Alligator mississippiensis: one gene and its partners. The protein of the gene in region 3 purifies or fractionates together with the protein of the main gene of each other region. This does not show direct contact. Links are inferred from orthologs where the notes say so. Each region holds a gene or a part of one and is shown on either strand. Other genes may lie near its edges.

Evidence for each region. The genes of interacting proteins can lie anywhere in the genome.
Region 1: the proteins of TOP2A (region 3) and ZNF451 purify together in Homo sapiens (affinity purification with mass spectrometry; 3 studies listed by BioGRID and IntAct, with this or other methods). This does not show direct contact. The link is inferred for Alligator mississippiensis from reciprocal best matches to the Homo sapiens genes TOP2A and ZNF451.
Region 2: the proteins of TOP2A (region 3) and SRPK1 fractionate together in Homo sapiens (co-fractionation; 3 studies listed by BioGRID and IntAct, with this or other methods). This does not show direct contact. The link is inferred for Alligator mississippiensis from reciprocal best matches to the Homo sapiens genes TOP2A and SRPK1.
Region 4: the proteins of TOP2A (region 3) and TOP1 purify together in Homo sapiens (co-immunoprecipitation; 4 studies listed by BioGRID and IntAct, with this or other methods). This does not show direct contact. The link is inferred for Alligator mississippiensis from reciprocal best matches to the Homo sapiens genes TOP2A and TOP1.

Annotation. Positions count from the first base shown.
Region 1 is NC_081824.1:51,324,185-51,332,018, reverse strand, and holds the start of ZNF451 (E3 SUMO-protein ligase ZNF451), read right to left. Parts: upstream 3,006-7,834; 5' UTR 2,724-3,005; coding exon 2,646-2,723; intron 1-2,645. UniProt on the Homo sapiens protein: E3 SUMO-protein ligase; has a preference for SUMO2 and SUMO3 and facilitates UBE2I/UBC9-mediated sumoylation of target proteins. Plays a role in protein SUMO2 modification in response to stress caused by DNA damage and by proteasome inhibitors (in vitro).
Region 2 is NC_081837.1:36,208,960-36,216,132, reverse strand, and holds the start of SRPK1 (SRSF protein kinase 1), read right to left. Parts: upstream 3,006-7,173; 5' UTR 3,003-3,005; coding exon 2,897-3,002; intron 2,807-2,896; coding exon 2,746-2,806; intron 1,690-2,745; coding exon 1,597-1,689; intron 1-1,596. UniProt on the Homo sapiens protein: Serine/arginine-rich protein-specific kinase which specifically phosphorylates its substrates at serine residues located in regions rich in arginine/serine dipeptides, known as RS domains and is involved in the phosphorylation of SR splicing factors and the regulation of splicing.
Region 3 is NC_081827.1:164,313,763-164,320,776, reverse strand, and holds the start of TOP2A (DNA topoisomerase 2-alpha), read right to left. Parts: upstream 3,005-7,014; 5' UTR 2,899-3,004; coding exon 2,863-2,898; intron 2,720-2,862; coding exon 2,576-2,719; intron 1,393-2,575; coding exon 1,302-1,392; intron 391-1,301; coding exon 327-390; intron 1-326. UniProt on the Homo sapiens protein: Key decatenating enzyme that alters DNA topology by binding to two double-stranded DNA molecules, generating a double-stranded break in one of the strands, passing the intact strand through the broken strand, and religating the broken strand.
Region 4 is NC_081832.1:17,920,127-17,928,065, forward strand, and holds the start of TOP1 (DNA topoisomerase 1), read right to left. Parts: upstream 3,006-7,939; 5' UTR 2,878-3,005; coding exon 2,845-2,877; intron 2,569-2,844; coding exon 2,544-2,568; intron 1-2,543. UniProt on the Homo sapiens protein: Releases the supercoiling and torsional tension of DNA introduced during the DNA replication and transcription by transiently cleaving and rejoining one strand of the DNA duplex.

The DNA of each region.
Region 1 (7,834 bases), on a different chromosome or scaffold from region 3:
ACCATTACTAATCATTTCAAGTTAATATTAAATAAAAGTAATAGATCTGTGATTAAGTTTTAACCTTAATAAATAAGCCTTATTTATTTCCTGGTCAGCAACACTTCCTAGTTTAACACCCAGTAATTGTAACTGGATCAAGGAAAAAAAAGAATCTCTATATACTAATTGCCTACCTATCCTGCTGACAGCCTACAATAGAGAAAAGTATTCTTCCCTGCCTCATGTACCAACCTATGGAGCACCAGGTGAGCTCCGCCACTGAACAACTGACATGTGAAACCCAGTCTGCTATAGCACTTTTTGTTTAAGTGAAAGATGGTTTAGTAAAGGGGGAACAGGATGGAGTGGGGGTACAGACATGTTGTACTATGTACTAAGTCTGCTGCTGTTACCCATCATGGATCATGCTGCTTTCAGGGAAGTCCTAACACAGAGCTGCCCCTGAGAAGCCTTGTGCAGTCTGCCTGTCCTGATAGGACCCCCTCAAGCCAGTCCTGGGATGAAGTCAGGGCGCTAACCCACCGTGCCTTTCCCTTGTGTTTATTAGAAAGCACAGTGATTGAAGTGCTTGCTTATTAGCTTGGTATTAAGGAATCAATCTTCCCATCAAACTGTTGGGACTCCAGGTCCACAGTCACCACACTTACCAGGACTTTAAAGCAGGCAGATGGTAATGAAAAAAGTTTTTCCCCTCTCTACAGTAATCAACTAGTGTAGTAGTTGGAAGCTCGTCATTACCAGTTAGTTTTCATCACACCAAACATTATCCTGTGCACAAGGAGACTATATCCTCACTCAAAGTGTGAGAACAAGGGTAATTACAGAACAGACTCATTAAAAGTGTGCACAATTCACTGTAAAACTGAACTGTTATTTTAGTTACAGCTTCCTCCCACAGTCCTTCAACCCACTGCAGATGCAAAATTTCCCTTATTTAAATTTTGTTTGCGTACAACTTGTTCTTAAGCAGCTTCCCTGATAACTAAGTCATCCCTCCATTCTTCCTTGTCTCCTTCCACTACTATACTGTTTCACTGATAGTAGTGAGACCAACATAAATGCAAAATTATCCACACCTCATTTCCCTCATAAGCAAACTTCTTGCCACAGCTTTGCTCCTACAGGGCAGTCACCTGCAGCCCAGCACACCCAGCTCTAGCCCAACCCTGCCACTCCCACCCCCTGCTCCCTCCAGCTGCAGTTCTGGTCCTATGGGGCAGTCAGTAGCAGTCTGGCACCTGCCCTGCCTGGCCACAGAGAAGCAGCAGCAGCAGCAGCTCCTAGCCTGGCAAGATTGGGGCTAAAGGAACCAGAGCAAAAGGGAAGGAGAGCAGGGGATAGGAGGGCTCAGCCACAAAAATGGGGGAGAACGGGGTGGGAGAGAGAGGCTGCAGGCCCTCCCCTCTCAAGTCTCCCCATGCTCCTCCTCCCCTACCAAACAAGTTATTCCAGCCCAAGGCAAGCCATGGCTCAGCTTCATCTTCAGTCAGGGGCCCAAAGTCAAAGCTGGAGCTAAGCTAACCCACCTACCCCAAGCTGGTGTTCAAATCCATGATAAAGCTTTCCCTCCCCAACCCCCAGGCTGACTGGGGGAAAACCCCCCATCTTGGATTCAAGTAAATATGATAAAACCTAGTAATTTTCCTCTCTTCAGCAGGTAGCGCCACAGAGCCAGGTTCTGGCACCCCAGGGAGAACTTTATTCCACAAACAAACAGTCTCAAGGATTTTAAAGGGACTGGGATTGCTTGTGGAGTAAGAAATGCACCCTGTAGGATTACACCCGCTACTGTCCCAGTGAACCGTCCAGTTTTTCCATGCACCTGCCTGACAACTTTGCTCACCTGGCTCCTCTGCTCAGTCATTTGCTCCTACCAGAGGCAAGTAATCCCCAATACAACCAGCTTTACTGCAATTTCTCAAGCTTCCATGAAGCCCTCAGGCACCACCTGTCTGAACCTGCACAGAACTCAGCAGAACCGTGGCCTCAAGTCAACAATGCCCTGTCGCTATCGATTTCCTTCTCCCAAGTCCTGCAACTCCTGGCAAAGACCTGGTTTTTTCTTTCGCAGTAAATGAAACGCAAGCCTAGGGAGCACGCGTGAGAGGGGGGGAAAGGGGCAGAGGGTGAGGAAGGGGCTCCACTTCCACAGTGTCTGGACTGACACTGAGACCTTGCTTTGGAGCAGCATTTTTCAACTCATGGGTCAAGACTCAAAAGTGGGTCTCAAGACTATTTAAAAGGGTCCTGAGCTGCGGCAGGGTAGAAAGATAGAAGGAAGAGGCAGGGGAGAGAGCTACATCGCAGCACTGGCACCGGACCTGGTGCCCATGCCTGCTGGGGCAGAGCAGCCAGGAGGCTGGTGGGGGCAGGAGGGGCCAGGACCAGGCTGCTTGGCATGGTGCAGCCTTGCAGCCCCAGCCCAGGGAAGGCTCGGTGCCACAGGCCTCTCCTCCTCCCCGCTCCAGCCTGTGCAGGGGCCAGACCTGTTTTGCTGCCGCAGCTACTGCGCGAGTGGGATGGGGGCAGCTGGGGGCCCCTGTGGCAGAGCGCAAGGGGGGGGGGGAGCAGTGGGCTGCGGGTCAGGACTGAGGGACACCAGCATGGGAGACTGGGGCCCAGGCCCCAGCGGCAAGACTCACGCTGACGAACTGCACGTCCTCTTCGCTCTCCGCCGGCGCCTCACGCTTCGGGGCCCGGGCGGGGCCCACGGCCTCCATTGCCTGGACGCGGCCGAGCTGCGGGGTCCGCCCCGCCCCGCAGCTCGCGCGGGTAGGACGCGAGGCCGAGGGAGGCCCCGCCCCGAGCCCGAGGGCGCAGGGGGCTGCAAGTGTCAACCCCCGCTCCGGCGGCGGCTTTCAAAGCGCCGGAGGCCGGTTGCTAGGACACGGCCGTGGGGCGTCTCCCGCCGCGTCACCGCAACAGAGCCGCACAACCCAGTTCCAGCAGCGCAAAAGAGCAACCCCGCCAGCGACTCGCGCGGTGGCTACTGGGATCGCCAGGCCCCGCCCCCACGCCGCGGCTCGTTGGCCATGTGCCTGCCTCTTGCTTTCGAGGCGCCTGCGCGGTAGAAGGGGGCGGGGCAGGAACTGTTACAGGCGCGAGCCCCCCACCACCTCATGTCCCCAGTAGACAGCGGATAACATTTAAAGGACCCGCGGCCCCGCTGGTGCGGGGGTGGGAAGCGGTCTGAGGCCGGGGCTGTAGGGGAGGCGCCCTATAACGCCCACCTTGACTGGGGAAGAGCGGGCTCGGGGTCGCGCGCAGGCCAGGCCCTGCGTCGCTCCCTCCGCTGCAATGGAATGGGAGGAGCGGGCGGCAGAGCCGTGTTCCTGGTCCCGCCCCGGCTCCCCGCCGCGCCTGCGCAGTGAGAAGTGCTGGTTGGGTGAGGGCAATGACGACGATTACCGTATTTACACGATAATTTCAACCCTTGTGCAATCAAGACTAGCTAAAGTGTTCAAAATTTCCGGCAACTTTGGAGGCACTTAATTGGTGAGCATACACAAAACGTGACTTTCAGGTTTGCTATCAGCACTTTCTTATGACACTTGCTTCAAAATAAAAAAAATGCTTCAAGTTTGAGGATCCAGTTCTCACTCACTCATTGGCAATTTATAGCAAGCGATAGAAATGAATAAGACTTATTTGCATAGTTTTTTCAGTGTATGGTAGTTTTTCAGCAAATATCATAATTTTGAGCTTCCTATTGGATAATTTCATACTTGCCACCTGGCAATGCTGGATGAGGGGCTCAATTTGCAGCCGGCAGGGCCTTGCCCTCAGCCCACTGGGCTCCCTGCGGCCCTAGTGCTGGCTGGCTAGCAGGACGCGCTGCTGTGTGCTCCGCCGCGTAGCTGCCACCTACAATTTTGAAGCAAGCGCCTGGCAGTGGCGCCAGCGGCTGTAGTCAGGCAGCACTGTGGGAGTCACTTGACTTGACAGCTTATTAGTTTCCCTGGGAGCCCTTCTAGGGGCTTCGTCCCTGGGTGTTAACGGCCCCCCTCTCCTTTGTAATGGTCTCGCTGTGCCACCAGTCCAATTAGCCTTTGCTTTGCCATGCTGCTGGCTGCTCCCCACTCCTGCTGACCCTGCAAACTGCTTTTTTACTCCTTCCAAAGAAGCAATATTTGTTTTTGCTTCGGTCTTAAACTGAATGAGGCAGCCCTTGGCCCCTGGCGTATTAGTAAAGCTTCTCATTTCCTTTTTCCAGGAGAAAAACAGCAGTTGTGTTACACGGGAGGATGTGCCTCACCATCTCCACCCCACTTCTCAAAATCCTAGATACTTGTAGTGGTCGTCACCTCTCTTTCATTCCTGTTCCACCCAAACTTGAAACCTACCTGCCTAGGAGAAGCAGTGGCCTTTCTGTGCGGGCACCCCTGAGGGAGTCAAATGACTTGTTATAAATCAGGGATTCAGGTTTTCTGTTTGCCGCAGAAATATCCCCTTTAAAAGAGAAAAACCCAGGAAAACAGGTTTCCCCTTGCAGACTGACAGTTCCAGCCTGCAAGGAGCTGCTTGGGGCTGGGGGGAGTGGGGCACAGCAGGTGCCACACAAATGTGCACATGCAGGTGGCAACCAGGAGGCATGGTAGGAAAGCAGTTCTCTCCGGGTAAGTCTATGCAGGGGGTCACAGGAAATGCATTGGGTGGGGGGCATGTGCCCCCGCAGATTTCTGCACTCATAGTGGGGTGCAGGGCATGGGGTTGCAGCTGAGCCAGACCAGCTCCAGGCAGGAGCCATTTCTGCAGCTCAGCAGGGGGGACCCAACACACGAGGGAGTGCTGCACTGTCATGGCTACCAAGGTGAGGCACCCCCTGCCCGCCCAGCAGCAAGGTGCAGAACTCTGCATCAGCATCTCACCTTGGCAGCCATGGCAGTGTGGCGCTCCCTCCCACTCGGGTTCCCACCTGCTGAACTGCAGAGGCAGCTCCTGTATGGAGCTGCTCTGGCCTGGCTGCAGCCCCCATCTTGCTGTGGGTGTAGAAATCTGCGGGGCACATGCCTCCCCCTCACCTGTCTGTGCCCCCCAATGTGCTACTTGTGCCCACACCCCCCACTTCCCCACACACCCACCCCCTTCCTCACACATTGGGAGCAATAGGTCAGGAGTGATGGGGCACCAGCAGGGCTGGGCTTCAGGAGTAAGGGGCACCAAAAGGGCAACAGCGTTGGCAGGTGCAGGGCACCTGCATATCAGGGCTGCTCAGCACCACAAAGTAGCAAGTGAGACGGCCGCAACTGGACCCGTGTCTTGTATATATGTATTCGTATAGTGGCATTTCATTTTAATCTCGGGAAAAAAAAAAAAAAACAAAAAAAACAAAAAAAAAAAAAAAACAACCCACAAAAACAAAAGATTTGGGGTTTGTTTGTTTTTTTTTTAGCAGAGAAAGCCAGGATCCCTGGTTATAATCCATCTAACGCCTGCTAATCTCCCTTTGCTTGACAGGTATTAATGACTCTTTTTTAATGGTCTTGCTGTTCCACTATTCAAACTATCCTTCCTTTTGCTATGTTGCTATTTGTTGGCCATTCCTAGTAATGTCTCTCTTCTATTTCACAGCCCTCCAGACTGCTTTTAGCTCAAGCTAAAACCCTTAGGCTCAGGTGTAGTAATGAGTCAAGGTATTGGAGGTATTCAAGAACATGAGATTTTGTTTTCAGAATCTGAATAAGAGATATAAATTTCACTATAATGGCTATATGACTAATAAAACTATTTTTTAGCTACTTTTGCCTAGTCTGTATTTTTAAAATTTTATATATGTTCCAAGACATTAGCGCACATCCTTGGAAGGTTTCTGCTTTGATCTTAAACTGAATAATGTAATGTTTTTCTAGCTGTTTCTGGTCTCTCTGAAGCTGCACTGTCTGCCTTGCCATAACCTGTACCCTACACCTGATGGAAAACACACAAAACTTCTCTTGTAACCATCCACAAAAGACTGTAACCCTTCCCAAGGACCTTAGAGTCAAAAGGGCCCTGCTCATTCACACAGCCTTTCCAGCAGGGAGATGAATTTCCCTGCTCTCTAGCTTCCTATTGCAAACACGACAGGAGGTTCTTACTTAATCCCAAGAGGACCATAGCATGTAACCATGTCCATTACTCTGCCTGACCTAGGCAAACAAAGTCTCCCAATCAACAGTAACAAACAACCTCTCCTGCACAAAACTTACAACCTTAGTCACAATTACCATACAGTTCTACTTTACTACAAGCCTTAGCTAAACCCTCTAGAAAGGGTCACCCTGTACCAACAGATTCCCTGATCAGTCAGGTTATTGCCCTTGTGTCCTGGCTAAGTGGCCAATTGTTGGGCTGAATTTTAAGAACCAGCCCCTATACCTTTGTTCCAGGTGAGCACAACCCTCAGACTGACCACAACACATGCCAGTTGATAATAGGCGAGTTTATTGATACAGAGTGATAACAAAAACCCACAACACAAACAGTTCTATATCTACCAGTCCTAGGGCTGTCATCAGAGTCAAGGTACATCTGGCCAGGATGCAATTGTCACTTCTGAGGCTCCCTCTTAGGTGTCATCGGTCTGGAGGTGGGATTTCGAGGCTCACAGCTCTCCTTGGTGGGGTACATAAGACAGGCTGCTGGTATGTCCTCTGTCCATGGTGGCCTTGGGGACCCTTCTCGGGGAACGGGGATGGGGACCATCAAGTGTTTCCTTTTGTCTTTGGCATAAGAGACATCTGCAAAGCTTCAACAAACCGCTGACATCAAGGATTTTTCAGTTGCTTAACCCGTTTCTCTAGATGTTACTTAATACATTCCTATACAGTAGAACCCCAACTTATGCATACATTGCGTTCCTGAGAAGCTTCACGTATCGGAAATTCATGCAACTTGAAGTGAATTTTCCCATAGGAAATAATAGAAAATTGAGGGGTTGCGTTCCTTGGACCTCACATTTATGACACCAAAGGCACCAAATGCAACCTTTTTCCAACCAGTGCTTTATTTATTGTCAGGGGATGGGGTCCCCAGGGATGGCCTAGATACTCCTATGGCTCCTTGACTATGCCAATCCTGCCCAACGGGCACCCTGTTTCTCTCCTGCCATGTCTTCTTGGTAATTATTATGAATAGGATGGCTGCTCTCAAGATTGTTTGGACACGGTCCTGATGGACCCCACTGAACCCTGTGGGTTCTTGGACCCATTTTGGGTCCTGCACAAGATGGTTGCTTCATAGAGCACCCTCAGCCTTATGGGCTCCAAAACCACACCTTTGCCATCTGCGAGGCTTGGGGCATGGCATTTACACATTGCCCCTCTGGGGCCTTAATTAGCTTGGCCTCCGATCATCACTGGGCTCTCCACAGCCCTGTCTCCACACCCCTGACGCTGGGGTCTGTTCACCCCGTTTGCCTCCACTCCCCCTGGCACTGGGGTCCGCTCAACCCCTTTGTCACCGCACCCCTGGCACTGGGGTCCCCACACTGTAGTGCCCCCCCGCCCCAAATGAGGCCTCCTTCTTTCCCAATAGCCTCAGCCCAATCCACTGGTCTATAAACAGCAATTAAAATGAGCCCCTGGGCTATAACATAACACCAGCAGTTTAGGTTGTGCTCTGTCCCTTTAAACAAGTCAAACCCGCACCCCCCCACCAAGTGCCTTGCAGGCTAGGGTACCTGGTGGGCTCCTGGAGCCTCGTTAGCCCTAAGTGCAGCATATCAGGTAGCCACAACATCTCTAGGCGATTCCTCCCTGGAGGCTCCTTCCCTTTTGGCTGCTGACAGAGAACTGACCCTCTCATCCCAGCCCTGGGGTTTATATGTACCCAGGGCCCTGCCTCTTCCCAT
Region 2 (7,173 bases), on a different chromosome or scaffold from region 3:
TAAGATCACGTTCTAAAAATAAGATTCTCCACAAAGCCAAATCGCTTAAGATTAATAATACCACTCTTGAAATTTTTAAACTCATTTATCATCATTTGGGATATACTTGTTGGAGGAATCCTCCATGCTATCCACCTAGAGTAAAAAAGAAAAAAAAAAAAAGAAAAATACTGTATTGCATTATCTTCTGGCAACAACATGCACTGCAGCAGTCTGCATGCCAGGTGCTTACTGTTCTTTTAACATTTAAAGAGCAGTATTTTTTTTATTTGCTCTCACAATTAAGGAAATACCAAGAGAACATTTGGTTTGCTCATCTGCTTTAAAATGTACTCATTTAAGTGTTTAGAGTTTTTAATACAGTGCCCCTGCCTTCTGGTAGCCTCCAATAATGCAATTTTCCAAGCTGACCACAGCTCAGCACTTAACTGACTAGCATGTTGTCTTCTGACCTCGGTCCTTTTCCTGCCTGGGGCAGGGGGTTGGACACTATGATCCTCCAAGGTCCCTTTCGACTCTATATGTAATCTATGAATCTTCTCCATCTACCCACAAAGAGAAAGACCACTTTTCCAGATATTAGGGAATGAAGGCAGGTACAGGTGCTTCACCTCCATACAGCAGAGTCCTTGCCATTCCTCTTTCAACAGCAGATTACCTTCAGATAAGCACTCTCCCTGCCCCCCCCCACTGCTTATGTCACAAACAGGAATTTGTCGGACATGGGGGGGGGCGGGGGGGGGGGGCGGGACACAGAAGAAAGCTATTTAAATCTGTCCGTAAAGACAATATCAATGCCCTTGCTTTTACAATTAATATTTAGTTTTAACTAAGTTGGCTTATTGGCTTGGCAACTTGAGTCACAATGCTTAAAGTTTTCTTAAAATACACCCTATTCCCATAAGCAGCACTTAAGATTACTATAACTGAAAGATGAAAGTTGTCTTATTTTTCATCCTCTTTATCCACCATCAGTTTCATTGGGTCTCCCTATACAGTGAGTTTCAACTTGTTTTTGAAAGCCGTTCACAGGGCAACAAGAAAAAACAATTTTAAATAGTAATAAACACCTACTGCATCGCAAGATCAAGTGCAGGACTAAAAAGCTGCTGTAGATCTGAAAATAAAACATTAACTCATTCTTTTTTAAACTAACTGCACTGAGTTGGGTACTGAACAGCCATCTGAAACATGTTCTGTAGTTATACATTTATCATAACGAATCTTGTTTCAATACTGACAAAATTTCCCCAATTACTCAAAATTAATTACTTTGCACTTATATACAGCCTTTTATCAAAGGATCAAGGATCACAACAAGACGTTTGAAAGGGCACTTCAGACAATTCTGGTTGTATCAAAAAATTATTTCAAAGTTCCAATAAACTTAAGTTTAGAAGAATAACTAGAACAAGTTTATATTTAAATAACACATTGTACAATGCTACTGTCTAAGCAGCAGAAAGCAAAACTGACCACACTCTCTTGGCAGCCAAAGGTGGAACGAGAATGAACACAAAATCTTTCACCAATTTTTCAGAAACGCTAGAAACAGAGTTAAAGAAATATGTAACTTTAAAACGTTTTTAAACATGCCTGTGAGGCAGGTGAACATCAGGACCAGATTGAGCATCAGTAGCCTGGAGATGAAGGGACTTGCCAGAAGTCATACAGCAGTCAGTGACACACCTGAAAATAGCAAACAGCTAAACAATGTTGACCGCCAATGCCCTCCTCTAGCTAGTTCGTTAGAAGGGATTTTTACAGAGCCACCAGCTTTAAGTCACTGTATAAAAGCTTTATGACTCGCATGGACTGTAGTCTTTACAAACAGAAGTCCTGGACTACATTCATAAATACTGGAGTTGAGATTATTCCCCATGCAGTTGACCGAAAAGCCAGGCAAATACACAGAAATCCCAGCTATGCGCCCCGATCTGACTCTTCATTCAGAAATAAAGACAGAGGAATACTACCTTATAACAAAACCTTTGCGGTATGTCCACAAAGAGCTTTAGAAAGCAGTACATTCTTCCAGATGCATTACACCTCCACGGCCCTCCAGCCGTTTTGTGCCGTCCACTTTGCGAACTCCCCTCAAGACTGGCAAATTTGATCCCTGCAGACTTCCTGCCCCTGCAGGGGGGCTGGACCCGACACTCTCTCGAGGTCCCTTCCAGCCCCTCATGTCTACGAAATGTATTAAGTCTATAGCCAAAACCACCAGACCCTCGCCAGCGGCTCTGACCTATTAACGGAGAGCGAACGTTATTCTGCAGCAAATCAGACGAATCAGTTATTCATTTTTTATTCTTTTTGAACCGCAGACTAACGGGTTGGACAAGCGCTGCTCTCCATAGGTGGGACCATCCACCGTAAAGCTGGCTAGATTTTATTTCGGACACCCTTTGAACTTAATAAAAGAGATAACGGGGGCGGAGAGGAGCAGAGCAGAAAAATTTAGTGCAGAAAGAGCGGCTGAGCGCAAGCTAGGATCCATCTTCTCACCTTACCGCTGGCAAACCCCGAGCCGGGGGAGAGGCCGCGACAGGGAGCTGGGCCACACCGCACCCACGGGGACGCGGCGGCCAGGCGGGCCCACGACAGGCGGGCGCAGCGCGGGGATGGCAGGCACAGCGGGCCCCAAGCAAAGCCCCCCACCCCGGCGCTGGCAGGAGGTGGCAACCCGCGGGCCCCCCTCACCCCCCGGGGGGCGCGGAGGCACGTGCGGCCGGGGACACTCACTTCCTCTGGGCCTTGTCCTTCTTGGCCTTGGTCCGCTTCTTCCGGGCCTGCAGCGCCAGCACTGCGGGGAGAGACAGACGGGAGTGGGGGTGAGGGCGGGGGGAGGGGAGCCGGGCCGCGGGGGCTGTGGGGAGGGGGGGGCGGCGCTCACCTTTCCGCTCCATGGCGGCTAGAGCCGGTAGCCACGGCCCCTCGCGCCGGCGCTCTGCGCCCTCCCCCTGCGCCTGCGCGGGGCCGGGCCGCGCCGGACGGAGCATGCGCGCTCGGGGCACCTTGGCGCGGCGCTGCGCGCGCCACCACGCGGGCTCGGGCTCGGCGCTGCCGCTGCTCGACCTGGGGCTGCTGAGGGACGCCCCGCCCTCGGGCTCGGCCGAGCGCGTGCGGCCACGCCCCCTCGCGGGGGGAGGGCGGGGCGACCGCGGAACGGCTCCCGCCTCCCTGGGCTCCATGGGGCGCGGCGCATGCGCGGTCGGAGCCGGGGAAGCCGCGCTGGGGGCGGGGACTGCGCAGGCGCCACGCAACGCGCGCGGGAGCCGGGCGCCCTTGTGACGTCAGGGAGGGAGGGGCCCACGTGTTCGCGGGGGTGGACGCGGGCGCGGGCTGCAGCGCGGGAACGGGCGGTGTCTGTAGCTAGGCTTAAATTTAGCTTTCTTTTTATATATATATATATATATATATACACATTCACATACATATATACACACATATCTATAAATGCATATGTATATTATATATATATACATACACACATATGTACATATGCACACATAAATACATACACACATATATAGGAAAGAGCTACGTTTTTCACTCTTTTAAGAATGCCAAAAATCATCAGAGTTGGCAACACTGAGCCAGCCTCAGCTGGATCCTGCCTGGCTGCCTCTGCTCCCCACACCTGGCTCCTGGGGGTCCCTTTGGGATGAGTCTAGAGGGGCCTTGGCCTCAGGAGCCAGAGAGGTGCTCAGCGAGGGCAGAGGGCAGGGCAGGGCACCAGCTTGGGGCAGTGGTTCTCTGCGCATGTGCTGCTGCAGCCCATGTAACATCCTGTTAAAGCATTTTTTAATTGGAGGTACAGGAAGCGAGTTGTGTGGGTGCAGCCCATACAACTCTCCCGTCTGAATCTAAGAACATGTTGAGAGCTGCAAGTGTGGCCTATGAAGGCAAACAGGTTGAGAACAGTGTTGCCAGGCCTCACAGAAACAAACAAACCCCCAACCCAAAGGGGGCTACGGGGAAGTTTGGCGTGGCTATAGCCCCCAAGTCCCTCCCTAGTGTGGCCCCTGCTGGCAGGGCACGCAGCAGGGTGTGGAGCTGCTCCACAGCTGGGTTGGGACCTTGTGGTGACAGTGGTTTGGAGCTGGGGCAATCTGCATGCGCCAGGCAGGAGTGTGCCACTGTCTCCGGACCACGCTGTCCCTGCTGCAAGGAGCTGGGGCACAGCCACTGCCTGCATGTCCCTGCCCAGAGCATGCAAGCTGCAGATTGCGCCTGTTCCCTGGCACCAGGGAGCATACAAGCTCCACATTGTCATCACCGCAAAGGGAATTATGATTTTTGTTCTGACAGTATCACCTTAATTTAAAGCAAAAGCATGCTCACAGGTCAATAGAGCAAGTGTCTCTGCACCACAATTGATAATGTAGCTAGTCTGAGTAGCAATAGCAGTGAAGACATGGTAGCAAAACTCTCAGAAGAGGCTAGTCTCCCAAGTAGTGACCCCTGGTTCCTGGCCAGGTTGGCCCATCCTGAAGCCTGTTTTCTCACACTTTCACTGATAAATTTGTTATCCAAGCCAGCTAGATTAAAACTAGTAAATGCTGACTTGAATCACAAACTTACCTACTGACTGCAGCATAGAGTGATAGAATTTTAAAATTTCTGGATTGCAAATTATGCAATTGAATTTCATGTCAATTGTTATAATTTATGATTTAGCCTATGGTCTAGTCAAGAGTACCCAGTGTTTTACCTCCTAAAGAAATAGAAATCATTTCCTCAGTTTTGTGAATAAATTATAGTTTGAGGTGATTTATCACTTTGTTCCTTGAACAGATCAAGGCACCTACTGGTACAGCTATTAGAGTCCCAGGGGGCTGAATGGTCAAGCCATGTTGATGGTTGTAATGGGCAAAGGTCCACTTTGGCTCTAGGTATTAATCAGCCACTGAGCTATTTAGGAATTTCAGTTTTTAGTGCTGAATACATTTTCTGGATTTAGTAATGGTTGTTATATACTCCTCTGAGATCCTGTATGAGCATCTTTGGCTATGCTGTGGTATGGGTGGAATATGGTTATAAGATTTTTGTAACCTGTTGCTTGTTCCCTGTTAGGCCAGGTCTCTCTTGGTTGGCTATCTGGTACCATGTAAACCAGTACAGCCTGTTCCCTGGTATGGTTGTCAGCGACTAAACTGGCACTCCCCCCCCCCACCTGGGCTAGCCTGGTGAGGAGGGTGTGTGGATACCCATGTGGAAGCAAAGAATGGCTGAGGCCTCATGGGGGGAGAGAGAGAAATTCCTTAGATAAGAGGAAGATGACCACTAAAGCTGTCTTGAAGGACACAAAACAGATAGCCCTAAGGTGGGAAAAGCTAGTTTAGGAAACCCTTTGTCTTGAATCTATAAAAGGTTAATTGCCCTTGCTGTAAGGCAGAGAGCCAGGGGGAATCTTCCCTTTAACGGTCTCTTTCCGATAGTTATCGAAATAAAGTTTCCACCTGACCTGATTCCAAATTCTACAGCGTGTTTTTTCCACGACAATTAAATGGTGCCGTGACTCGGATCCACAGCCAACGATGTGTTCGGAGGACCGTGAGCCATTCCCCATCGAACCCCAGCACCACCAATAAAGGTAAGAGGCCTTTTAAATCTCTGTTGGGGTGTCGGAGGAGGACTGCTCATAGGCTCCCTGCTCATGTTGGGTAGCTGGATTTGAACCTTTGTTACAGGTCAGTGTAGAACCAAGACCGGTCACACTAATCCGGTAAAATTCTGTCTGTCTCTGGAAAGCGCGCATAAGTGGTAGGGAGAATCTGTTGCACAAGCACTTGCATCCAGCACAACACTGGGCTTTAGGAAGTCTGAGTGGGTAATGGAAATAAGATTGTGACCCTGATTGAATGGTGATTTGGAATTGGTCCAGGGCAAATTCTGAAACCACGTGCAGCCGCCCCGAGACGTACGTGAGCCCGGTTTGGACGATGACCGGCGCAACTCGAATGCAAGGGTGCGTGGTGAAAGAATAGTCACTGGGAGCCAAGGTTGAGAGACAAAATCAACCCTTTCTTCCTCCCCAGTGAACTTTTCACTGGTCCCTCACCCTCTTGTTTTGCTCTGTGTCTTGTGTTCCCCCCCTCCATTCATGAGCCGCTATAGATCAGCTGCCTGAAGGTATGTAGCCTCAGTCATCAGACGGGGCTACGAAAAGGTATGTAGCCTCAGTCAACAGATGGGCCTACAAGCAGGTTTCTGTGACTTTAGCAGACTCCTTTTGTTGTTCCCCCACCCTTATTCTACTGTGTAGATAAACGGTCTGTTTATGAGCCGTTGCCAAATCCAGAACTCACCTCGGCAGCATTGCAGGCTGAAGTTCGGATCGGCACGGACTTCCTTAATAAGCCATTCCCTTGTCTTGTCTTTCCCTGTGTGATTGTGAAATGGGTACAGGACAGTCAAAGCAAGTGCCAGTCCCCTCTAAGGGAACTCCGGCGTACTATATGTACACACATTATTCTCCCGAGACTTGCAAGTACCTGGATAAATAGTACTGGTATACCAGGGATGATCCTTCCAAGCAGTTCCCTGAGGAAGGCACATTCAATCTAGAAAAAATAGTGCACTTAAAAGGGACGTTAGAGTCCCGTGAATCCAAAACTCCTCAATGCCAGTGGAACGTATTTTTCGATTGGTATGAAGAGATGTCAAAAAGACGCACTGAGTCTCAGACCAAGAGCCTGAAAGACTCACAGGAAAAAATTTTAAACAACAATTGAAGGAAACACAGGAGAAATTGGCCGCTCCCCTAAATTCAAACTGCAGTCCATTATACCCAATACTGAAAGGGGTACCCCCACTAACTGAACCTCTGGAAGACGTATTAGACTTTTGTATCAATCCAGCCTTAGCTGAAAATCCGGCCCCATCTGAATCAGAAAACAAACCAAGCCTGTCAGCTCCCCCTTCAGGTTATTCTCCTCCTTTCCCTACCCAAGCATAGGACAGCCTGAAGGATGACATCATTGCCCCACTTATTTCACTTGACCAATCTAGTCCTTTTCTTAATTGTTCTGTAAACGGCAGGATTATATCTTGCCTGGTAGACACAGGAGCTTCCCTCTACACTTTAAAAGCCTCTGATTTCTCTAACATACTTCTTTCTGAAAAAAATTGTTAATGCTGTTGGCATTAGCGGACACCCTATACCCC
Region 3 (7,014 bases):
GCTCCACAAACGAAATGGTGCAACTGAGAGGACAAGGCAGTACAAAAATTGAAAAGGACAAAATAAGTAAAAAGCTAAAAACAGAGATTGGACCTGAAATCACCACTTTGCAGGAGACCAAGATAAGAAAAATGACAAACTTGCACAGTTATTTATCTGATGAGCTGCAGGAGTTACTTCTGGTTGGGTCACACAACATGTTCTCCAGTATCTATGAGTCTAACTGCATGAGAAGGGTAAAATATACAAGTGCCAACATACTGAACTATTTTGCTCATAACACCCGAGGAAAAATCACTGAACAAAAGTTAAAACAAAATACTTACGGATCAATTGTCACTTTAATGCAGGACATGTTTTTATCCCTCTGCTTGTTATCTGCAGCATTGACTAAAGATGAAAAGAATTACCAGATTACTTTGAGTGAGAAATCTGAGCTGCTTAGAATAGAAAAACTTTACATCCAAACAGTTTTTAATAGAATACATACATTCAGAGACCATGGTACACCCTTTGGGCTGCAAAGAGTATGGCTGTCAGGCTTGTCTGGCATCCCTGGACTGGATCTGAACCAACGGGGCTATTCATCGACTGGATCAGGACTACTGTTACAAGTGCCTGAGTTGATGCGTTGGCTCAGGGAGTTGCGGGGCTCAACACAGCCGTGCTTCGCCCACCCACTGCCAAAACAAACCCCAAAACTTCATACCCTGGGATTGAGTGATGGATCTTGCCCCACATTCCCAGTTCCTCCAGAAGCCCAACAGACTGTATGACACAGCTCTGCAGGCTAGATCTGAATGCTTGACAACCTTGTTTTAGGAATTTAGTATTAAACAATTCTCAGTTATGTTTGAAGATACAAGGACATTATTTTAAAGCAGGGGTGGCTAACCTGTGGCACAGGTGCCATGGGCAACCTGTGTGTGAGGCATGCAGATCAAGGAAGGGACAGACCATACAACAGCAAATAGGGAAAGCAGCAGAAGCAGAGCAGAAGATCAGCCAGGGAGTATAGGACATGAAGCAGAACAGCAGATCAGACAGATAGGGAACTGCAGTGGCACTTGGGAAGGATGCAGGGCTCTTTTAAGGCATGACTGCTGAAAAGGTTGGCCCCCATGGTCTTAAAAATGCTTTGCAAATCCTCACAGTTAAGGGTTATTTTAAATTACCATCAAACATATTTTTTTTTTTAACTAAATGAAGTAAACAATTGGGGTTCCCCTAATATGCAGGCATCCAGAATTTGTTTTCAGAATAAATTGCTAGCCACTGAACTGTTAAATCCCTCAGCTTACCTAGAATTTCATCAAAGATTTTGTACAATCCAGGCACAAAAGTCACATCTCTGTAGTTGAGTCCCACATCCTCATCATATACCCACATTTGCTGAAAATAAAGTTGAGAAACACTCAATATTTTTCAGATCTGCTGCGATTTCTTTACCCTTAATTTATAAATCAAAGTTACACTACATTGCTTTCTAATTAACTAACTCTTGTTTAAACGGAAAATCATTAACTTTTATGTCAAGGAATTAACTACTACTGAACAGGCAATGTAGAGTATTGTAATTTCTTTCTAATTTATGGGAACATGACTACGCCAGCAAGCTACAAGCACTTAACATTATTGATCACAGTTGATATCTGTACTAAACGGCTAGGAAAAACATCCCATTTAAATTAAACAAAGCAGTCTTAAGTAAGCACCACTTAAATGGCTCTATGTTCACTAACCCTCACAAGAACTTTCTGCCTACATTGAGCCTTTGCTGGGAAAAGCAGCATGTAAATCTAATGAATAAATAAAATTGCAAATACTGCATCAAAAACACAATGGGAAGGAACAGAACAGAGATGGAGGCTCTAGGGAGAACAACAGCCATGGCTAAAATGTAATCGCATTAATTCCTAGCGTGGCAATGCCTAGCAGCCTCACGGTGCTGTACAAACACAATGTTTATATGTGGCACTGTTTGTACAAACACACTGAGTTTAAATGTGTACAAACACAGCGAACGAGCTTCCCCCAGAGACTTTAAAAATCAAAACCCATCTCACGGTTTGATAATAGCAAACCATTGGAAGTGCCCCCTCACAGGGTTGCGCAGGAGACAAAAGAGGATGTGCTGGTGCTTCCTATTTTACGAAAGTAACTTCAGCCACTCAGTAAGGCAAGAGCTGCTCTGCTCTGCCTGAACCCCCCACCCGGCATCTCTCACAACACACACAGGAGCGGGACCATTTGTGATTATTACACACTTACACACGCCAGCTGGATCTTTGGCGGTTAGACACACAGGTGCACTAACCAGATCTTTTGCAGTTATACACGTGCTAACTAGACCTCTGGCAGTTGTACACACACAGGGTAGATCTGTGGTGGTTACACGCACACACACAGGAGTTCTGGCACACACACACGTGCACACACAGTCTGGACTCCGGGCGGTTACACACACACGCACGCACAGGGTTTCTGGCAGCTGCACACGCAGGTTGGACCCGCGGCACTTGCGCACGCGCACACACACACGCGCGCCCGCGCGCGCCCGACGGCGGGCGGGCACCTGGGTGAGGAGCTCCACGGAGCCGATGTAGGTGTCGGGCCGGAGCAGGATGTGCTCCAGCTGCGTTTTCTTCTGGTAGATCCTCTCCACCGACAGCCGCTTCGCCTTCCCGGCGGCCTTCGCCTGCGGGTTCTCGCTCAGCTCCTGCCCGCGGGGACACGAGACCGCTGGCACCGGAGCCCAACACAGGGTGGTGACACCCACACCCACCCACCCCGCGCCCTCTCCCTGTGCTGTGCTGTGCGCTCCCCACCCACGCCCCAGGGAGAGGCGGGCCCCGGACGCACCCTGAGGGGCGACGACAGGGACTCGTGCAGCTCCATGGCGGCGGCGGCGGGGCGCGATGCGGGGGGCGGACGGGACGGGACGAGACGAGACGAGACAGATCGGGCCGGGCAGACGCTCGCCGCGGGCTGTGGTACACAAAGTCCGTTATCGGCCGCCTCGCAGCCTTTCAAACCTCCGCCGGACCCGCCGAAACCGCTCCGCCAATCACAGCGCGCCGGGAGAGGCGGCTCTCGCCAATCAGCGCCCCCGCTCTCCAGTGAGGAGGCGGGTCGGCCCCCCGGCAGCTAATCGCAGCCCGCCGGGTCGTTCAAACCAGCCAGTGGCCTGCTTAAGGAGCTACACTGGAGAAGGGGGATGGGGAGGAGCTGGCCACCCAATCAGCTGGTCGAGAGCTATGACGGGCAGGCGGCTCAACTAATCACAATGAAGGGGAGTGGGGGAGGGGGTGAAGGACCGATGCTGCTTTTTTGAAGGAGTCCTGGCTGCGGGAGTTGGGGGCTTGGGGGAGTTAGGTTTCAGGCGTCAGGAAGTATCCGGAGCTCTGTCCTGGCTGTGTTCTCCCTCCACCCCCGCAGTGCCGTGCCGTGCCGTGCCGTGTGACTCCCGTGGGCTGGGTCCTGGCTAAGTCCCCATGTGCTCACCCAAACAGGTGGAGTTGCTGCTGCTCTGGGCTAAGGAGCAGGACCCGCCCCCTACTCCTTATAGCGGTTACCCCATGGGGCTGTACTCTGATCCCTGTCTCCCTGCTGTCCAGACCCACCAGGCTCTGAAGTCAATGCTCAAACAAAGTCCTATTTGAAACTGCTCGGGCAAAAACACCAGGGAATAAAGTGCATCCCACCAGGGTGGATGATGTGTCCCCCTGGGTCTCTTTCTCCCCGTCCCTTTTAATCTTCAAGCTTTTGCTAAAATGATGGGTGCTGAAATAAGCCGGAAGGCAGGGCAACGTGGCACGAACTCAGTGGTTTCCAACTTTGCTGGACTCAAGGTGCCCCTTGCTGGACTTCAGGCACCCCAGTATAGCTTTTGGCAATTGAATGGCACCCACTATGGAAAAGTAATGTAGATAGTTCAGGTCTGGGCAGAGGAGCCAGGCACTGTGGGTGGAGGATTGGCCACATAGGGACAAGCCTGATCCTGTCTTTTATCTGTTTATCTCCTTATTTATCTCCGTATGCCTCACTTATATCCAAAAGATCTGGTATCACCCTGGTTGAGAATCGCTGGACTAGCTGGTTCAGAGAGCCATGAGCTTTTGTGAGTGACAGCCTATTTTGGAAAGGACTCCCTTGGGTGCTGCATGCAGCAAGGGCACCAGACCTGCTGGAACTGGCACCATGTCCACCGCAGACCTGCGACTGGCCAGCGCAGGCGCAATGTATCCCAGGACCAGTCCGGCATGTGCTGTGTTCAGGGCCAGTCCAGCATGTGCTGTGCGGTGTGTGGGTAAACTTAAACCCAGGAGCAGCACCAGGGGCCAGATGATGGGGCTTCTCAGGCTAGATCCAGCCCTTGGACCTTATCTTTGGCAACCCTGCTCTATAAGGTGTCACCCTGCCCTGAAGTGCTACCCACCCTGCCTTCTGCCTGGCTTCAGACTAACTACCTGTTTCAGCCATGTACAGCTGTCTGTACTGACACAGCGACATAAAAGTCTATTAATACTAAATGTTCACTAGGCTTAAACCAGTTGTCCATTTTTATGGTGGCTAATTGTTGCCATCTGACTCCTGTCACAACAGGCCCACGACAGTCTTGAATGAAAATTAGCCCTAGTTTTAAAAGGGGGAAGTGTTATCTTGGTTTTTCGCAGCTACTGCACAGGCACTCAGGGTGGGACAATGGGCTCTTAGTCTGTAAGATCCCAAAATAAAAGGTTTTGTCGAGGGGAAATGGTAAAGGACCTTACTTTACACTTTCCCTTTAGCCCCATTGTGCTAGCAAAATCAGCCTGAGGTACTGTAGGTCAATGGTGAATCTGAGCCTATGTCTCTTCAGTAGCTTTTGCCGTGAGGATCAGCAAGATTGTGTATTAAATATATAAATAGAGTGTGCATATGCAGGAATCCCATTGCTTTGGCCATTCTCAATGCCCACAGCGCTGCAAATATGCCCTTACTTGGAAACACATCCAAAGAGCACCTGAGGTTTTCTTAGTATAGTCTCCTCGTCCACTCATCCTGCTTCCCTCATCTGCTGTCATATATGTCAGAGCTCAAAAGCAGGTGCCTTTTCTCGAATATTATGTGTAAATAGCAGCTTTTGGTGCATAAAAAATGAAGTGATCTTTCTGTGCAGATCAGTGTTCTGTGAGATCACAGATATGAAGCCAATGACATCATGAGAATGAATTAAGTCATCTCCTCTGTGAAAGAGGGGGAGCTGATTACTGGGTTACAACACAACTCCTCTGGAAGGAAAACTCAGTTCATAAAATCATAGGAAAGTAAGGCTGAAATTTACTTCATGAGGTCATCCAATACAGCCACCTGCTGGATTACTTGTTTAGGGCCAAATTATTGGCTATACACGTGTTGGGGTGTGGGGTGGCGGTGTTTTAATTAGAGTGGTTCCCAGAGAGCTGCTCTAATTAAAATGCCACAGCATCATGTGGATTAAGTCACTTCATGTTTAAAAATGGCCACAGGGCACTTTAACTAAAGCTCATTTGTCAAGCTTTAGTCTAAGTGCCCCAGCGTCCATTTTTTTAACCCATGGGGTTTATACACATGACACTGCAGTGATGCTAGAGTGTTCTAATTAGAATGCAGAACAGATTTGATTAATTGAATCTGCTCCAACCCATTCTAATTTGTACATGTCGGAGCCCATGTACAGGCAACCCAGGTTTCTAAAAGTGGCTCCTCAGTGTGGATGCTCAAAAATGGAACTCCCGATATGTCACAGCAGGGGTTTTACTTTCACAGGCGCTGAATGGGCATAACTCCATCAGGAGCCAATGGGAAGTACAAGTTGCTCAGTGCTTCGAAAAGGAAGCCCTGAGTCTGCCAGACAGGTGTCCTAGACTGGGTGCCATCACTGAAAAATGACATATCCCAAACTGGAGAGCACACTTGGAAATGTAAGTTTCAGCAAATCTCAAACCTTTTATAGAAGCTGCCTGTAAGAAGGATTTAATTTTACAGCCAGTGACATATTTGAATTTAAACAAGACATTTTTCACATGGTTCAGTAAAAGAGGCAGCAAGGCTTTGGCATGGATGGCATTATCATTTGAGTCATTTTGCATTGGTTCACTGTATTAGGGACACACTTTTTTTCTTTTTAAAAATAAAAGGTTTGCTTAGAAATGAATCTGCAATAACAAAGTGGTCAGATTGGCTCAGTCCTCCCCAACCACTAAAATAACAGACTAGTATGCATGTAACTGATGAAGGAGAACCAATCAGCCAGGCCAGTTGATATCAGGTTCATGTTTGACCAGTTATAAGGCATGGTAGGACAATTGGCAGGGAGAAGAGATTAAAAAGTATGAGGCTTCCCTCTCCCTGTGTTGTGTGCTTTACATCTATTTACATTTGGAATTTTCCCACCTCTATTTGGTTTGCTCTTCCCTGAGTCGTTGGTGGTTAGGATCCAGAGTAGTAGACAGGCTACTGCTTTGCTTATGGGGCCGTGTAAAGCAATGATGTTCCTTGGTTTAAACAAACTGGTGGTTGCCTCCAGAGCTCTGCTGAGGGCTGACCCCACGTAGCCTCTGAGGAAGGTCACCTTTAAGGGTGAACTTACACATACTTAGACCATACTAAGAGCACTTAAAATGTGCACATCCACATGTTAAAGCTCATTAACTCATGCTAAGTATCCTCTGATTCTCAAAGTTACATAATTTCAGGTGAGGGTTAACTCTGGGATGTTCTTCCTAACTCCTTTTAGTTGGCTCCATGGGGATATATTCAGTTGGCTCTCAGGATGCATTGCTCCCAGCCTCCTCCTTCACCCCAGAGCAGGGGTAGAGCCCAGGTATCTTGGCTCCCAGCCCTACTCCTGTTCACCAGCCCTCCAAGGGTCAGTCAGACCTGATCAGGCAGCAGGTATTAATTCTTAGTGTGTGACTGCTCACAACCTGTTCTAATTTATAACATCACTTAATATTCCACAGATGTAGTACAGTCTATGTGTAATGTATA
Region 4 (7,939 bases), on a different chromosome or scaffold from region 3:
CAAGTTCCTTGTCATAATAAGAATAGTTAATTGCAAGTATGTAGCCAATGCATTATAAATACTATAAATCAGAAGATACCCAATATATTCTTTATTCCTAAGAAGGCATCTCTGCCTAATACTTATATTTTATGGATTAATGAAACTTCCCTTCAGCCTTGTAACTGTAATAAGCAAAGGGTCTGGAAAAAAAAAAAAAAAAAAAAGAGACGCACACATTTGTTGCCCACAGAACAGAGTAAAGTAGCCAACATTTTTAAGAGTTTGGAAAAAAAATATCCGTGGGAGTCTTACTACTCCCCACCCAATCCTCAGCACTAATTAAAAAAAAAAAATCAAAACAAGTATATAAAAAGCAGAGCCCCAGCACCATGCCTAAAATGAAAGACGATATTCTAAGATTGCTATGTGACAGAAGCAAAGGATATTACTGTGCAATAGAAGCAAGGAAGAACCTGAAGAGAAAAAAAAAACTCCATGTTCCCAGAAGTTAAAGCTTTGGCAAGGTCAGAAAAGACACAGGCTACTAATAGTGCTATTCTCCTAACAAGCCAAACAGGGTTACAAGCATCATTCATTGCTGAAGAGTTCCTGGGCCACTAAGGGACAAAATAAAAAAATAAATAAATAAAAAAAAATAAAAAAAAAATTAGCTAGTCATGTCTACTGACAACAAAAGGAAGATATGGGATTGCAATGCGAAGGCAGAAGTCTACAATGCCTTCACTGCCCGAAATTCAGACACCTTTAATTCACCGGTGTACAGTGTCAGAGGTACCCGACATGTTCTTAGTTTAAATCTGTGTACCAGACTTCCTTCAGCAGTTGTGCGGGGACAAGAAAAGGCTAAGAGTTAAGAGCATCTAGCACTGCATTTCTAAAAGCATCCCTAATTAGGAACAAAAGAAACCAAGCAGAGCTAGCCTTAATATGTTAGAAGGGAAATCCCAGTTAAGCTGGTCACCACAATTTGGGATAGAGGGATCGACATGCATCACTTCACATATGTAAATTAGCAAGTAACTGAGGCTTTTTTTTCTGACTACAATTACCCCTAATATTTATCTGCATATGAAGGTTACAAAAATTCATACACATGCATATTTTAAGTATTTCTAAGAAACCCAATTCGGGTCCAAGCAGTAAGCGATTTTCCCCTTCTTCCTTTAAATATTTAGTTTTGGGGCTTCACGTTATCTATATAATGGAAAAATTGTTTAAGAACCGAGTAACTAAATCACCACAATCCTGTTACATACACACACTTACACCATTTCATTTTATTCATATGCACAGGTACCAAGAGATGGGTACACACTAATATTCACATGCAAGACAAAGAACAGGTTGCAAAGCAGGTAGACACACAAACAGTATCCAAAACAGTATGGCAGGGAAGGCAAGAACCTAGGCTCATAAAAACAGTGCTGCCCCAAAGGTGTGGGGGGCCAGTTCAGTGACCTTTCCAGAGTGAGGGAAGAATGAGTTCAAGGCACCTTCACACACCTGGGCCATGGTCCTCCCCCCGTCTCCACCCTCCATCAATCAGGGGACAGAGCTCTTCATGTAACTCACCGTGTAACAGTGACACATGGATGTAGAGGCAGGTAATAATAGTCCCTTGAACAATACCACCCACCAGTTGGGGGGGGGGGGGGAGAAGAGGTGCAACCTATATGCTACCCTGTAATAGATCCTCCCCCCACCCCCAAAAGAAAGAAAGAAAAAGCCCCTGCCACCCATAAAACTCCTCCAACCCTCCCCACCACAATGAACAGCGGACTGGTGAACTTTCTGAAGTGATGCCCTCTCCTTTGCTGCCATTGCCTTGGCTGTCTTTTATAGTTTTTTTCTGAAGCTGAAAATAAAAGTTAAAGCCCCACCCAGCCAGGTGAAAGTTAAAGCCATTCAAAGAAATAAAAGCCTGGGCTTAAAATGGATGCAGCAGAATCTTTTAAAGAGCAACATGTTGCAACCACCTTTCATGCGAGGGAAGGGAGGGAATGACTGGCAGGCTGGGAGCCGGGGAGCCGAGGGGGGCGGCTGCAGCAAAAGCAGCTCGAGGAAGGGGGAGGGGGGCCGATTTAGCCTAAAAAAATAATCGCCTTCCCCCCCAGGAAGAAGGGTGCGAGGGCAGGAGGGGGCCACTTGGCCCGGGTTCCTCGGCAGGAGGCTGGTTCCCAGCGGCGAAGGGAAGGAGGAGAAGGAGAGAAAAAGACACACGCACAGGAGAGAGAGGAGAGGAGAAAAAGAAAATGGCGCAGAGACTAAGTCCCGACCGTCGACAAGGCGACTTTCCAGGGAGGAATCGGGGCCCAAGGGGAGCCCCGGGGACGAGATGGGGGCCGGGGCGGGGGCCGGGGGGCCGCCCCTGGCGGGGGAGCGGGCGGGCGGGGGCCCCGGCGGCAGCAGGCGGCAGCACTGGGCGGCTCGATGGGAACAATGGGGCCGGTGAGCGAGCAGCCGGGACTTAGTCTCTGGGACGCCATGTCTGGCCGTGCCCGAGCTGGGCCGCGGGGGCCGCGGGGCCGGGGCGGACTCACCGTTGGCTCGGAAATCCGCCTCGATCTGCGGGGGGAAGCGGAGACAAGCGACAATGGGTTACGGCGGCGCCGGCGGCTCCATGTCGGCTGCGTTTCACAAGGGAGCAGCCCCCCCCACCCCATCCGCGGCCCGGTCGGGGGGTCCCCCCCACCCTCCAAACCCGCACAGGGAGGGGAGGAAACCCCCAGCGCCCTCCCCGTGGCGTGGCTAGGCCCGGGGCCCGGCGGGGAAGGGCCCGGCCGAGGGCAGTGGGGAAGGGCCGGCGGGGACGCCCGCCCCGCGGTGCCCGAGGGGGGTCACCTGGGAGTCGTTGTGCAGCTGGTCTCCGCTCATGCCGGCCGCTGTGTGGGGAGGCCGCGGGAGAGCTGAGGCGCCTGGGAGCAGTGGAGTCGGCGGCCACAGCGCAGCCCCTCGCTCCGCAGCCGCTTGTGTAACAGACTAAGTCCTTATTTGCCCTCAGTGCGCAGGCGCCGCGGCTTTTAAAGCGGGGGTGGGAGGGAGGAACGGGCGCCAAGATTTGCATGCGGGCCCCGCCCACCCGCGCGCGGGACGCCGGGTAAGGCTCGCGCCAGGCTCCGCCCCCTTTACGAAAAATGCCGGCTGAGTTCTCGGTGTACCCTACCCCCACCCTAGAACGCCGGCTTTATTTACATATCCGGTCCCACCTCTTCCTGCCCTTCCTCCAATCGCCGAGGCGATGCGGGCTCTCATTTGCATATTCGGACACGCCCTGGCGCAGGAAGGCGCCTACCGCCCTGCAGCACATTGTGTAAGAGCCGGCCTCAACCGGCGCTGAATACGCATGCGCAACGTCTCCCCGCCGGGGGTTCTCTATTTGCATACGGGGCCCCGCCCTGGTTCTTCAAGCTCCGCCCTCTTGGGCTGTCAGCTGCTTGTGTGAGTGGCATGAAAGGGGCAAAGGCAGGATGCAGCGGCCTGCGTTCTTCTCCCTGCCTGCCAGGTCGGGCAGGGCAGCGTGCGGGGCATAGGCGCAGCAGGGGGAGGGGGCAGGTGGGAAAGGGCACTAGCTCTGCAGCCCCAGCCCAAGAGCAGGGGGCAGGGGTAGAGGTAGAAGTAGAGAGGTGGGGGCAGGGGCAGGGCCAGGAAGTGAAGGCAGGTGACAGGTTGAACACATTCCTCACATCTCTACTTTCACCTTCTCTAGCTTCCCCTTAAATGAGTCTATACCTGGGCTTGCTGCAGAGACAGCAGTGACACGGACCAGACATCCAGCCATGATCCCGGTGTCAGCGGTAATGTGTTTAGGCTCAGGTTAATTGACTTCATCAGAAGGATTGTAAATTCCTTGGGGCAGGGACTGTCACTAACTGTATGTTGATCAAGCCCCACATCATCTCTTTGTCTTCACCTGCTATATTAGGGGTTAAAATAATAGACTTTTCCGCATGTGGATAAGTTTCTTGTAAGTAGTGTTTGTTTATATTATGGTGGCATCTATGTAACCTAATCCTCATTTGCAACCCTTCATTTTATTCAACCACAGGCCCAATTATAGCAGAGTATATCATTAGCATAGCCATAACAATATAGGATCTTGATTGTTTGTCTCAGTGTTTCATTTTTTTCCCATTTTTCCTCTCAGCTGTAACTTCTCATGTCTTATGAACCTGATTCTCTGTTTCCTTGTATTGGTTTTGCACCAGTCATGCCACTAACGGTAAGTGAGTCACGTTAATGTCAAACTGGTGGAAGAAGGTAGAGAATCAGGTCCTCTCACTTGTAATTTGATGATGAATATTTAACGTTGGAAGTTTATTGTGGTGGGAAATATAGCCTTTCTGTAGGACACATGCACAGAGTGAGTAGATGGTCAAGCTGGTATCATCATTATTACTATTACTACTACTACTAACAACAATAATATTGTTAAACCCACAGTCAGCATTAAAGGCTATGTTCTCGATGCTGTACAAACAAACACAATGCTAAGAAATAGAGCAGAGATGGAGATGGGGTAGACATGTGCTGGTCTTTAAGACAAAGGTAATAATCACCAGTGCTTCATAAGTTAGAAGTTTTCATTGTAAATTCAGAACAGCCCAAAGATTTTTTTCCTAGTGTAGACATGCCCTTTAACCTAATTTCCAGCAAGGAAATTGAGGGAGAACAGGGATTTTTTAATTTTTTCCCCCTTTAGCTACATCTTGTACCTTCTTTTAAAAAAATCCTAAGGACATCTGCTTCTGTTCTGCAACTGTTAATTGTCTGTACCAAAGGAGCTTTCTCTCTGGTCTACTGAATGGACAAGTTTAATATGTATAGCTAGTACAATATCTCAGAGGACCGCCTTGTCTTCCATCACAAGTTCCATGCAGTACTACAACATGAAGTATATCTTTTCCCTGCTCCTTTATACTACTGGAGCCTTGACTTGATATGAAAATAATCCTGTGCTACCAGGCTAAATGAAGAGCTCAAAAAAAGCACACGAATGTGAGCAGGCAGCATCAGTCACCTTTTGCATGTTATATTTATAGTTCTGTAAGGGTAAAACACTTGTCATTCTCTTACACCCTTCAGAAGAGGATCTGAGGACTTCCTTTTTACCCACAGCCCCCAAGTATTTCTGGCTCTAAATCTGTTTATTATGCAAAATGCTTTACTAACAGATAGGTTTTTAAATAAGTCTTGTCAAGGGATTGCATTGTGTCTCAGAGACATCTACACTGTTGCTTGCAGAAAATCTTCTCTGACAGAAGTAGCAAGGGCCTGTGCTACTGAAGTACAAGGATTTGAATTCTGCTCTGCAGCTCCCATATTCTGAGCACCTGTGGTGGGACTAGAATGATAACCAGGAAGTCCTAAGTATCCACTTATTTGTTACCGTATTTACCTTTTGTCACAGCAGGACAGTATGGGGTGTTTAGTTCCCACAGCATTGGCTATAGTGAAAATCTCTAAATACATGTCTTTTTGAAGAAGCAGTATCATTTCGTATAAGAAAATAGAGTGAGAATCAGTCTTATGCTTCCTGAAGTTATAGCTATTTCATTAATTCCCCCTTATACCCTATGGCCGGATCTCCGAGGCGGCTTCAAAGCTTCAGGGCCACTTCAGCTGGATCAAAGTGGAAACCTGGCCTGGAGCTGCAGATCGGATCCCTGGCATCCGAAGCTGCTGGATCCAAAGCCGGATCGAATAGCTGCCTACTTGCACAGGCCTAACACACACACACACACACACACACACACACACACACACACACACACACACGTGTGCGCACATGCTTGTGAGCGTGTGCGCGCACACTTGTGAGTGCACACACACATGCACGCACACATACTTGTGAGCGCGTGCACACTCACACACTTGTGAGCAGCCTGCACTCATAGTGGCGCTCTCCACCCACCCCGCCTTGGCCAATCCCTACCCTAGGCAGGAGGAGGAATGCCTAGCCCAGCCTGGCCCCCTGCCTCCAGCCGCTGCTGAGAAGGAGTTGAGCCAGGCAGTGTGAGCCTGCCTGGCGCACCATGCTACTCCACCTTGCCACTGGATTGTGCCCTGTGCCACAGCCTGCCCGACTGTGCCTGCAACAGTTCTGCTGACTTGTGGGGGTGTTGGGGTGGGCACCAAAATACAAGTTCACTCCAGGTGCCATTTTCTATAAGGCTGGCTCTGGGAGCATCTTCCAAGAAGGGCCAAGCAGGATAGCTGAGCACCAGCGGGAGCTAATCCCAAGGACCATGTTGGAGATTTATTTTGAACCTCTGGAAAATCTCCTGGGAGGCTTCCCAGTTATTCTGGTGCCTCAACTACTTTATGAGTGAAATTTGAAGGAATATTACACCTTTTTCTCCCTCAGCTGAACCTTCTTGTGCCATCAGGGGGAGGCAGGATTGGAATAAAACATCATTCAGAAGATATGTATAAGCATATCAGACTGAAATGCTTTTGCAGCTGCTTCTGCTGCAGCAAGTTTCAGAGAAAACTCACAATTTTTTGGTGCCCTTCTAGATTCTATAGACAGCACCAGGGGAGTCCGGCAGTTTTTAGCTGATGTAACTTTCTGTCTTAATCAGAAGCACAGTTGCAAGCATGCCTTTTACCCTAATAACTGGAGGAATATTTGGCTATCTTGCATTCAAAATTTTCATCCTCCTTGCAGTGGAACATCTTTCCAAAAAAAAAAAAGAAATCCAGTCCAGGACATGAGTCCATTTTAATTGGATGTCTCAGTTGCAGAGGCCAGCAGAGAGGGTGTGATGAGGGTCAGTTAACTAGCAAGACAGTTCACACCCCATAAAGATAAATGCTGGAAGTTCACACTTCTTGGAGCTATTGTTTCAGTCTGTCTGCTGACTCAACAGGTCGGCAGAGCATCCTAAGATCATTTAAATAAAACTAAGGTGATAGGTTTGAAAAGAAATAGCTGGAATATTTTACATGAAATAATAAATCCCAATGAATACCATAATAAATCAGTAAAAAGCCCTAAAATCTTCAGACCAGTTGAATTTCTACTCACTTAGCTCCTAAGTACTTTGATACCTTTTCCTTTTGCCAGTCTTCAAGAGCTCTACTCAGACACAAAATAAAGATCTTATTAGAATCTTGTTTTAAAGAAAGCTGTTGGGGATGCTGCGGTTCCATCTCCCTCTTTTAACTGTTGGGTCAAATGAAGGGTCAAATCCTGTTATCAGGGCCAGCTCAAGTTAATTGGTGTACTCGGAGGAGCTGCAAAAAGTCTTTTCCCAAGCCAGGTTTGTGGCTGCTTGGTGATCTCAGGGCAGTAGTAGTAGCCTCCATTTCTGCTGTACCTCTGTCCGGGTGAGAAACAGTGTCCCCATATCTGACCCTTCTTCATGGCAGAATCATCATCCTTCTAATGTGCTCAGGGATCTTTGCAGTTGCACAGGGAGGGGCAGGTTTGTCAAATGTACAAATACAGTCAGAAGGACATGCTGTGGCTTTGAGCCCTCCACCTAAGCAGGACCGGTGCAGAATGAATACACTACAGTGGACTACCTTAGATAGATTATCTCCATCGGATATGTGCCTGCAGGTGCCTAAAGCCACACAAGGCACTGTCACCTGTCAAAGAAAATGGAGAACACTATACACCATACTCCTCAATTAGTAGTTGTGGGGAGCACTCACCTTCAGATAACATATATTATCACTAGCAGCACGCACCCAATGGGAAACCTTGGGGACAAGATCAAAATAAGGGCAGATGGGGTCAAAATAAGGAGTGCCCAGGTACTGCATGTAACAGTCTCCTCTCCTGTACCTCTGTACCCTGTACTTGAAAGGGACTGCAATAGTGTAGCAGCTGTTTCCCCTGCTCAGGGATCTCAGTACATGCTGTTACAATTGATGGTAATTCATTATTTAAAGTGGGTCAACCAGCACTGTAGGGGAGTGAATATAGTAG